3 linked regions of the Saccharomyces cerevisiae S288C genome follow. The gene in region 1 interacts genetically with each later gene. Each region holds a gene or a part of one and is shown on either strand. Other genes may lie near its edges.

The links.
Region 2: mutations in FET4 (region 1) and YOR296W together harm fitness more than expected from each alone (negative genetic interaction), as found in Saccharomyces cerevisiae (one large-scale study listed by BioGRID).
Region 3: mutations in FET4 (region 1) and ECM4 together harm fitness more than expected from each alone (negative genetic interaction), as found in Saccharomyces cerevisiae (one large-scale study listed by BioGRID).

The regions. Positions count from the first base shown.
Region 1 is NC_001145.3:912,447-916,205, forward strand, and holds FET4 (Fet4p), read right to left. Parts: upstream 2,093-3,759; coding exon 434-2,092; downstream 1-433. UniProt on the Saccharomyces cerevisiae protein: Required for Fe(2+) ion low affinity uptake.
Region 2 is NC_001147.6:868,444-872,202, reverse strand, and holds the start of YOR296W (uncharacterized protein), read right to left. Parts: upstream 2,002-3,759; coding exon 1-2,001. Other genes in the region: UAF30 (Uaf30p), read right to left, coding at 2,309-2,995; ribosome biogenesis protein RRS1, read right to left, coding at 3,252-3,759.
Region 3 is NC_001143.9:580,609-583,895, reverse strand, and holds ECM4 (S-glutathionyl-(chloro)hydroquinone reductase), read right to left. Parts: upstream 1,614-3,287; coding exon 501-1,613; downstream 1-500. Other genes in the region: MSA2 (Msa2p), read right to left, coding at 1-243; YKR075C (uncharacterized protein), read left to right, coding at 3,146-3,287. UniProt on the Saccharomyces cerevisiae protein: Active as '1-Cys' thiol transferase against beta-hydroxyethyl disulfide (HED), as dehydroascorbate reductase and as dimethylarsinic acid reductase, while not active against the standard GST substrate 1-chloro-2,4-dinitrobenzene (CDNB).

The sequences.
Region 1 (3,759 bases):
GTCACAGTATATCACCCATTTACTGTAAAAAGATAAAAAGACCAGTAAATGTAACGGAAAACCATTCATTTTAACGGAGCCGTGACGAGAGTGGCTGTGATCGGAATTCCACGTCAAGGTCCTGGAAGACGGGGATCGGGGACTAAAAAAGAGCGTCGAAAGTATCCAGTACGTCATTACCAAGTTGAAAATGAAAAAAGATCAATTAGCCACATTTTATCCTGGATTTATTATCTATTATATATCATTTTAAATGGTTTAGGCTCCCAGAGAAAAAAGCAAAACTCAGGTGAGGTATATGTACAAACTAAATAAAAGTTCTAAGGTCGATCGCTACCTCCGTATAGAAATTCCTAAAATCCCTAAGGAAAATTAACTCCCTCATAAGTAACATGAGGAATTCTTCCCACTAATGCTAAAATGTTCAATGAAGCTATTTTTCCAACATCATAACCTCTGGGAAACGCTTTTCTACGTATGATAGAAGTATGCGCCTACGTGCGTACAAAGCGGTAACCTCCACTCTTCTTTGACGATCGGCCCAATTATGTGCTTGCAACAAAACTAGCAAGAAAAATTCTTCGATAATCATAGTTGGCGTGTTAGCAATCAATTGACCTGTTGTACTCCAACGCAAACCGGAAGCAATACAAATTAAACCAATGATGATGATGACGGATACAAGAACACTCCATGGAGTTGAGCAGATCCTATTAATATATTGGGATGTTCTGTAACCAATAGTGTTAATTTCAGGAGCTTTACCACTAAATTCTTCGGGACATTCAATACCTAATTCTTGGAATAATTCAAGGTCTTCTTTAGCCACATCAGAATAATTTTTCTCTTCATGTTGAACGATTCGGAAGTACACTTCTCTCAAAACGAAACCGTCCAAAAACCCAATTAAACCTGTGTATGTACCGATAATCAACCACCAATTATCATCCCACTTCATTGGCGAACCAATACCAATCCATGTGGCGAACACTGCCACACCAATCAGGACACCAATACCAGTACCAATAATATCAGCATACCAATCAATCATCTTTCTCCCTGTCGACCTTTTTTTAGATTCAATAGTAACAACTGGGTGAGGTGTTTCAAAATCGTTAAAATGCTTTCTTATACGATAGTCGATTTTCTCGTCCATATCAAAGATATCAACTAAAAACCTCCCCGTGAAATAATCATGTCTAGCCCTTATATTTTGTAAGAAAGTAGTGCAAATTAGAAGGGAAACTGCAACTGCAGTGTTAATATACATCTGCCAAGCGTCACTGAACTTTTTCAATCTTGGATTACTACCTGTAGTTTCTCCGGTGTAAGGTGGAGTGTTGCCCGCATCTTTTGGGATAGCACCGCAACCAATCCAAACGAAAATACCTATCCAAAATATCACCATTGCTGCAATTGAACCCATATACCTACTTGCTACGTTAGATAAACGGTCGTACCAATTTTCCACAGGCAGTTCTCCGTTAATGGCAGATGGGTCTATATGATTTTCAACAGAGCTGACTTCATTAGCTTCAACTGTGCAGTCTGCTTTTTCTTCCTCTGGGGTGCTTCTTGTTAGATAGTTTTTGAAGGAAGCCAATCTCGACTTCAATCTACCGCAGATCAAAATTTGTTCATGCGTACTCATCAACTGTTGTCTCATCAACAGTGTGTCCCAAACATAACTTTGAATAGACTGTCCGTCCTGCATAACAACTTGCCAATTGAAAGGTGCGTTATAAACAATACCAATAACCACCCAAATTATGAGGATGATCCAAACAATAAAAAAAACCGCCTGCGAACCGGCCACTCGTACCAGGAAATCCAGGGTCTTATCTGTGAAACCTTTGCTTAACCCGGTAAAACCTTTACTCGTGAAGATTGCCCCTGTTTCTGTTAAATTCACATTACAAAGTTCGTCATCAGTACTCTCATCGCTATGGCTGACTACTCTGACCACATCATCATTTTTGTAATCGTTAGAATCACCGAATTCTTCGTACTGTTTGCAGTCAACAGTAGGTGCTCTATGATGAACGTCAGGCCTAGCACCTGGATTCCCGAGAAACTCTGCAATTTTACCCATAATTTGATTAACGAATGTTTAATAATAAGGGTCTTATTAGGTTTCTATATCTACCTTTTCCCTTCTTATATCTGATACTGTTTGACTTATGATAAAAGAAACTTACTTACCTATCAATTAATTCATGCCGTGTGAAGTATATTTATATAAACAAGTATTTCTAAATGAAGAGCATCGAATCAAGATGTGGTAGATGCTAAACTAATGGGTGCAATTAAGAAGGCTTCTACCAAGCAAGTTCAAGGCCAGTAGCATTATATAGTTTTTTTGTCTTTATTTTTTTTTTTGGTTTTTTTTTTTTTCGTTTGAGAAAAATGCTGCTTCCTAAAAAGACTCAGCAAAAATGCTCATGACCTAATCAGTTTCGAGAGCAACCCCACGGGTAGGAAAGAAAGAGGCGCCAACGTTAAAGGAAACTGCCCATATCTAATACATAACCGCACAAGCTCCAAGCTCATTCAACACCTGTGTGATTTACGCCCCAATAAGGCTCAAGATTCCTCAATATTTTGTCGTTGTTCGAGCCATGAAAACCTCAAATTACTGCTACAGGACCCTAGGGTCTCGCTAAAAAAATGACTACGCGCGCTTATATAATTACTCGAATAAGACAAAAGAAAAAAACCCTTGCGATATGTCGTAGACACGTAAAAATGGCCCATTTAGTGGTAGTCGCAAACTAGAGGGGTAAAAATAACCTGTCCAGTACTGAAAGTAATGCTAGGGAAATGCGAATGACCGTACGTACACCTTCGTACATGCAGGTATTTAGGGGGCTTATTGTTTATGAACAATAGCACTATGCCAGGTCAAACATATCATGTTCGCGCAGTCTCCTCGTGGGATATATAAAGTGAACAAAAAGTGCACCCGGTTTTCGGAACAACGCTCTTCGCAACAAGGCAAAAAAGAAAAATGGGACAACGTAATCGGAGAATACCCAAAGGACATTATAATCCAATCAACGTAGTAGTACGTATGGTTAGAACAGCAAGCACAGATATTTGCTCATATGCAAGGAAACTGGTGTGATTAGAATGCCTTAAACATGAGTCCAATGTATGCGAATAAGATGCTACGTTGAATAAGCAGATCAAAGAACTTTTGGTAGGAAAAGCTTCTTTTTTTAAAAGCGCACGTTTCTTTTTCTTTGTTGGACCTTCCATCAAAATCCTTAATACGTGCAGCGAAGCAGCAACGCATTGACAGTTCATACAGGAAAGAGGAACAAATATTTTGAGCTGCTTGTCCCAGGAATCTAGGTGCTTACGTATCTTTTATTTTATTTAAATGTATGATCTTACCCACGATAATGGTCTTAGTACTTTAGTTTGGCAATGATGGAACCGGAGGACAACGGACAAAAGTTAGGGTATCTTTACTCTGTCACTGCGTATTTTTTGAAATACACTATTTTTACAAGGAGTTAAGCATAACAAGCACGTGCTGCAGATGTTTTCATTTAGTGAGTGAAGATCTTTATTCAAGTAATTCATCTTCATCCGTATAACTTCTTAGTAAAGCGACAAGGTCTGATGGCCGAATTTTTTTAATTTTGGCCATCGTATTAAAATGAACACTCTAAAGCCGAAATGAGAAAGATCTCGCTAATAGTAGGTTAGGACTCAATGGCTAGGTTATATTTTTGCCTTCGTGAGAGTAATTTA
Region 2 (3,759 bases), on another chromosome or scaffold:
TGAAGATTTAATAACTTTTTGAACATTACGGCTCACATCATCACATAATCGAGTCAAATATTTGATGAAATAATTTTCAAGGTTAAAGAAAAATTTCCCTTTTGGCTTTACCTGCAGGTAAATCTGTCTCAGTTCTTTCAGTACATCATACATATCTAGCGCATCTATTGGACCCAACTTTTGTCCAGTCATTTTCATGGTACTCTTTTCAGCGGTTTTTATTAGATTTAAAGAATCCGAACCGTATACTTCACATAGAAATACTGCGCATTGTCTAGGCAGAGATATTTCGTCCAATAAAGGTTTATTGTAACGTTTTTGAATCGCTTTTATGGCTTCTATAATTGTTTCTACGAGATTCTGAACGTTTTGAATTTCTATTGCGTTAGCCTTTAGCATATCCTGCAGAAGGGAGACAAAATAATCCTCTGATGCTTTAAAAAGAGTCTTCTTAAATAATTTGATCCAGTATTTCTTTACAGCTACGGACTGCGTTTCATAGAATTCCATTACTGGATCCCCAACAATGTTTGAATAATAAAATGACAAAACTGGAGAAAATTTTGGCTTTGTACCTGAAAATATCGCAGTTAAAAGGTTATTTATTGTCCTCATAGACTGATCAGTCGTATGAAAAAGGTTTGCAGCCCATAAATAGCGATCCTGAGCATTCCAAGCGGATGGATCCAGATTATCCTCTGAACATAAATATTTATTGCGGATGACAGAAAACAAGTTTTCAGTTATTGGGATATTTAGCTCTTCATCTCCTAGAACACTTAAATTTGCTGCTGAATAAACCAACGAGGAGATGGTGGAAGGATATTCTATTCTCCAATACCTCGCTGATTTATGAAAGAAGAATAGAGCTTCTTGAGAAAGATTTATGGCATTTACAGCATTAGAACACTCTTTTTTTAAAACAAGGCCTATGAGACGGACAAATACGCTTTTTGCATCCTTGGGTATAAGACGGTTTCCGTGAGAGGTAACCTTTTCGCCTATCTCAAATCGATCCATTAAATTTGCAATTTCAAGAAGTTCATAATTCTTCCATAAATTGTATTCTCTGTCACTTGAAAAATCAGAAGCCGTCAAAGTACCGTTGTCTTTCTTGATTTTTTTCCTAAGATATCTTAGTTCACCGCAAAATATGGGATTTGTACAATCGTCCTTAACAGCCATTACGTCTTGGTGAAGCTTTGTTTCATCTGTTTCGAATAACTGCATAAAATACTTCATATGTGAAATATCTTGGACTTTGAAAGAGGGTTGCTTATTGCTAATCGTGCTCCCGGAAATGCTTCTATATTGAGGGACTGTGGCAGGTGAGGCGGCTCTTTTCTTCTTTACTGTTGTCTCGCCTTTTTTAAGATTAATCTTATAATCAAGCAGTCTCTTTATGATATTTGCACAACTATCTGGAAGTACATCAATTACTAGGTCTATAAAATAAGCAACTTCACTGAACAGCTCGTCACGAGAATTTTTAATAGTCATTTTCTTTAGTTCATTACTGGCAATATTTGTGAAATAACCGACCACCTCCTCCATTTGACCCATCTTGGAAAATGTATCTGCACTAGAAGAATCGAGCATGCTATAATACATCTTAACAATACTTTTCCAATGCATCTCATTCGGCGCCAAGTTTTTATTTCCTGAAATTTGTGCCAACTTCCCTTTTAATATACGTAAAGTTGCCTGTACTATATCGCGTTCCGACATATCGTCTTGTTTGTCAACCACTAGTTTCTTCCCATGTTGCGTTTGCTGATGATTCGTTTTGTCAGATAAAACCCTTGACGTTCCTGTCCTATTCGATAGCAAAGCTGCTTCTTTAAATCGCGGTTCGTTGATATAATCCAACAAAATTAGTTTTAAAGTGTAAAGATAGACATCTGATGTTGGTAATTCGGTATTAATGACGTTGCATATTGACGGTATTTCCACGGATACATCAGATACAGTAGATGATAATGTGGAGACTGTTCGATTCATAAGTTTCACACTAGCTGCAAAAGCCCTATAAAATGCCGGCTTATCCTCTTAATGATGTGAGAACGCTACTAATATTCAACTAGGAGCAGAGCTATTCGCCTTTCTATTTTCTACGTAGGTATATATATACAAATCTCTACATACTCATGTATCTTTTCACCCGGGAATGTTAACGTTACAAATTGTAGGCAGCTACCGAAAAAATAAGGCAAAAGGACTTTATAATAGAGAGGCCATTTTTCATTCCTATAGTGTTGCCTTAACAACACAAATTTCAACGCCTTGAAATTTTCATGATATCCTTGATTCAAATGCCCTTTGTATCTGATTGCTCGGAATCTGAAACGATGGGCTTTTCCTTTCTACGGACTTCTTGGATAAGAGGAGGACAGTCGCTTATTTTTTTAGGCTCTGTCATATGACTTGCCAAAATTTTGTGCATCTCAAACATATTGGTACTCTTGCCAAGTATTAATTCTAATTTTTCGTCGCACAGTATTTCTTTCTTGTTGTTAGGATTCTGCAGATTATGCGCTTTAATATATGCCCAGAGTCGTCGTACTACTTCGGTCCTCGTCAATTCATGCTCTCCTAGCAAACTCGCTAATGATTTAGATAGTGTAACTTTTCGTGTTGAAATAGGTGACTTACTAACAGTCCCTTTTTTCTTCTCAACATGAGTACCTTTGGTTTCGCTATCGTTCTTTTCCTCTCCAGATGATCGTTTGCTTACGGTAATTTCCTTGGTGAGCTCAATCGCCAAAGTAGCATTTTCCTTTAGCAGATCCTCAAGAGATCTTTCGAAGCGCGGCCTTTCTTTTACAAGATCTAGATGTTTCCTAATCAATTTGTTAATTGCTTTTCCCTGTGATTCAACGTCGATTGCATATACTTCTTTCAAAGCCATCCTAACCTTTTTAGTTGTGACCGTTTCCAAATCCATATCAGAGAGAAGAATATCGATCATCGTACTATAATCGTTTAATTCAGCCATGGCAACGCAAAGAAAGCTGTCAACGAACGCTTTAGTACTTGTTAAAATTTTCACCTATCTTATTCTGATCTCATCTTGGACTACTGCAAAAAAATGTATCAAAATATAGAACGGAATTTTGATGTTTTTCTAATTTACAATTATTTAAAAATATTATAGATGTAAGGATACGTAGATGTGAGGTTATGCTGTAGTTAAAAAAAAGGTTAGCGGATCGATTGGGGACGCAAGTAGGAAGCAACAACGTCTTTCACTATCATAAGGCATTCTTCATATTTCTCCTTTGTTGTTTTTCGTTCTTCTTGACTAAACGTTTTCTTTCTGCCCTATTCAAAGTTCTTGGATCGATCAATTCATTGTCAGTGCCTTTTACTTTATCATCAACTTCCACCAACCATTGATCATCTAACTTCTTATTTGCGCCCTTGTAGCCCCACTTTGGAACCCATTCACCGGATGCCTCATCATAAATCATCTTTCCTGCCCTTTCCTTTGGTTTAATACCCTTCTTAGCTGCAAACTTCTCCCATTTGGTCATAGCCTTAGCCTTTGGCAGTGGCTTTTCTCTTGGTAAGTCAGTGGTAGGGTCAGGAAGCTGCAACAAGGTCATCACGGAACTTTGACCGCCGGTGCCACCTACAGACTCCGTTGTTGTTTTCATAGGTAGTGATAATAGTTGATTGATTAGTAACTGAACATTATCACGAGTAAGACTCTTTATCTTTTCTTCACGCCTAGCATTCGAAGAATCTAAATCGTTTTTA
Region 3 (3,287 bases), on another chromosome or scaffold:
GTTTATAGGCCCCAGTATTGTAGCCTTACCATTTTGCCCAATAGACAGTGAAAATTTACCGAAACTGGAAGACCGGCCGTGAACCTTCATTGAAGACGATGACACAACAATTGAAGGTGATTGGTAATCCAATGAGGAGGGCGTTTGCATTGAAGGGGCTCTGATTGGCGAGAAGATAAGAGTGTGGCTAGATTGCGGTGTGGAGCTGAATCTCTGCTGTTGTTGCGGTGTTGTGTATACCATTGATTGGTTTAAAAACTGCTTCCTTGCTAAAATCTTTTGTAAAACGAAACCGATAAAGAAGAATAACAAACTACAAAGTAGAAGAATGAATACAGCTGTGCATGAATGTCATATTATGAAAATATTTCATTGCGTTAAATATAATTTCCAGGCCTTTTTTTGCACTTTAACGCGTTTCGCGTCAATTACCCAATTGAGTATAGAAAAAGAGGCAACTCAGGGAGATTATAGACATTTGATTATTTAATTACAGCTTGTTATAAAGGACGAATATCTGGCTTGGGTCCCAGGGGCGTAATTCCCAAGGGGTTGATCCTTGTGTGGGAACGCGTGTAGTGTAACTTGATATGGTCAAAATCTGTTGTGTACCTGAAGGCATCATAATTCCAGTATAAATTTCTTACCCACAAATGAATAAATGGATATCCGGCTCTAATAGAGGTAAAATTGCATTTGAAATGTTGGACGTACACAGGATCGAATCTTATGACGGTAGTATACAATCTAATGTCAGCTTCTGTTAATTGATCACCCACAGTGAAGAACTCACCCAAGATTTTTTGTCTATCTTCTTCACCGTATTTGGCCTTCAATTTGGAATATTTGTCACTCAGGATTTTCTCCACTTTGTCCAAATGTTCAAATACGTTGTTGACTTCACTTTCGTAAACTTCTGCTTTCTCTGCGAATCCGGTCTTGTATACACCATTGTTGATGCTGTCGTAAACCCAAGAATTGAAGTCATCGATCTGTGTTTTCAACTGAGCAGGAACAAGGTCCGTTTTCTTGTGATCGTCGTCGACAAATTCATCGAACGCACTAGAGTTCAAAATCCTTATAATTTCGCTACTTTCGTTGTTAACAATTGTTTGGGTTTCTAAGTCCCACAGGACTGGGACGGTGAACCTTGCCGAGTATTGAGGATCGCTCTTGTAATATAAGTCACTGATTCTCTTGTATCCATAGTGAGGCTCATTGGTAGCATCAACCATGAATCTTTGACTGTCATTCTTGATCTCGGCGAAGCTCTTGCTGGAATCCTCTTTAGCAGTTCTAATACCACCTGCAACATCGTGCCAATGTTCCAAAAAATCTTCACTGTCCTCCAATTGCTTTTCCATGTCCAAAAATCTCCATCCTTTCTCGTCAAGGTGCCAATGGACTACGCTACATCCTATAACAGAGGTTAATCCCTTCAAAGCCCTCGTAATTAGTGTTCTATGGGCCCATGGGCATGCAAGTGAAACATACAACCAATATCTTCCCTTTGCTGGCTTATAAATTGGGTGTTGCTTAGAGATTGTTTCTCTGAAGGACGAAACCTGTCTTTTGAAAGCTCCGTTTGTACCACTCGCCCACTGTTTCGACATTTCTTATTTATCTTGCGCAGGGTTTGGGTAAATTCTCGTAAGCACTGTAGTGATGGTAAGAGCAGCGTTACCTAATTAACTACCTTTATACAAGAAATGGAAAAGGGTTGAGAGGGGTTGGACGCTAAGACAAATAAATAGGGGTGTGAAATTTCAAGAGCTGACTAATATCTTAGTAACGGAGAACAACAGAGAACAGATGATAAAACTATATTGATACGTTCAAAAGGTCTTAGGACCGTCTGAAGAGGTGAAATAAAGATGGAAAAGTTTGCGTCACCAAGCCTTTTGCGTCGGTTTCCTCTGTAACACTTTTTAATTCAAAGTGTTAAAATCTCAACTGTATACCCTCTAATTTGCATAATAATGAAACTAAATGTAAAAAAAAAAAGGAAAGAAAATCACTCCATAATCAGGGTAATGAATCATTTTACAGTGTCATTTGCATGTTCATACACATACCCTTCTTGACAGAATGCAGGAAAAGCCTCAACTATTTATCGGACACATTCGCAAATGTCCATTGACGAGTAAAACGTTTCCGCGTCACTACATTCGTCACTACACAACTTTAAAATACCTTATTTTTTTAATTATGCGGAGTAAGTATCTTTGCAGAACTAGATGGTTGGATTGAGCAGTAGGCATCAGTGACTCGAATTGGTGCTCATTTTTATTTTAACGTACGATTTGTTCAGGCCTTGCTATGACAAGCTTCCTGACGAAATCATACTGCAAGATACATAGTCCCAGTCCATAAACTAGTAGAATGACAAAAAGAAACTCAGAACATACATAACACGATAGACAACGTATTCACGGTTTTGAACCCCACGTAGTATCCTTCTAAATGGCATTGCCTTTACCACATGAAAAACTAAGAGAAGAAAGCTCTCTGCACTAATCATTATAAACGACAGCGGACCCGGAAGCGAGTACCCGAATAGGCCGGGGAAGGAAAAGATAGAAAGGAATCTTTTTTTCTTCCCCCCGCTCTTTTTTTTTATGCTTTTTGGGGTTTTTCCGGCAACTTTCAACAGAAATGCCGTAGCCGGAAAAACCGAAAGCGGGGGACAGTGAAGCGTGAGAGGGGCGAGACAGGGGGAACTTGAATGGGGTATTTTGCTTTTGCTGCATTTTTTCCGCTGGTACCTCTATCTTTAGGCGACCGGAAAAATTCATTTTCTCATCTTTTTTTTTTTTTCGTTTCCGACTCGATACTCTTTACAAAGAAACCCCCGCGGGGAAATGTTAGATTTGAGCTTTTTCCGCCAGGAAAAGAAAAAACCTGGGGACATTAATCTTGTTTTTTCTTTCTTCTTTTGTCTTCCCTTGGATGACTGCAGAAAAAGTACAGTTACCGGGTCTTAGCAAAAACAAACATATATATATATATATATGAAAGCGTATGGTCAACACGGTTTTATAGGTTTTACTTTTTGCATTCAGTTCAACTTTGGCCCTTTCTCTTATCGCATTCAGATACTACACACAAGTGTTCATACACACACAAATAGATACATATACAGAAAATGACTAGTTTGGACGATACAATAATTTCGTACCAGAATATAATGTTACTGGATAACATGACCAACTACAACAAGCCTGCGATTGACTATTTCCATCATGAATTTAATGATGCAAGCTTGGAAATATCGGCTTCATGGACAC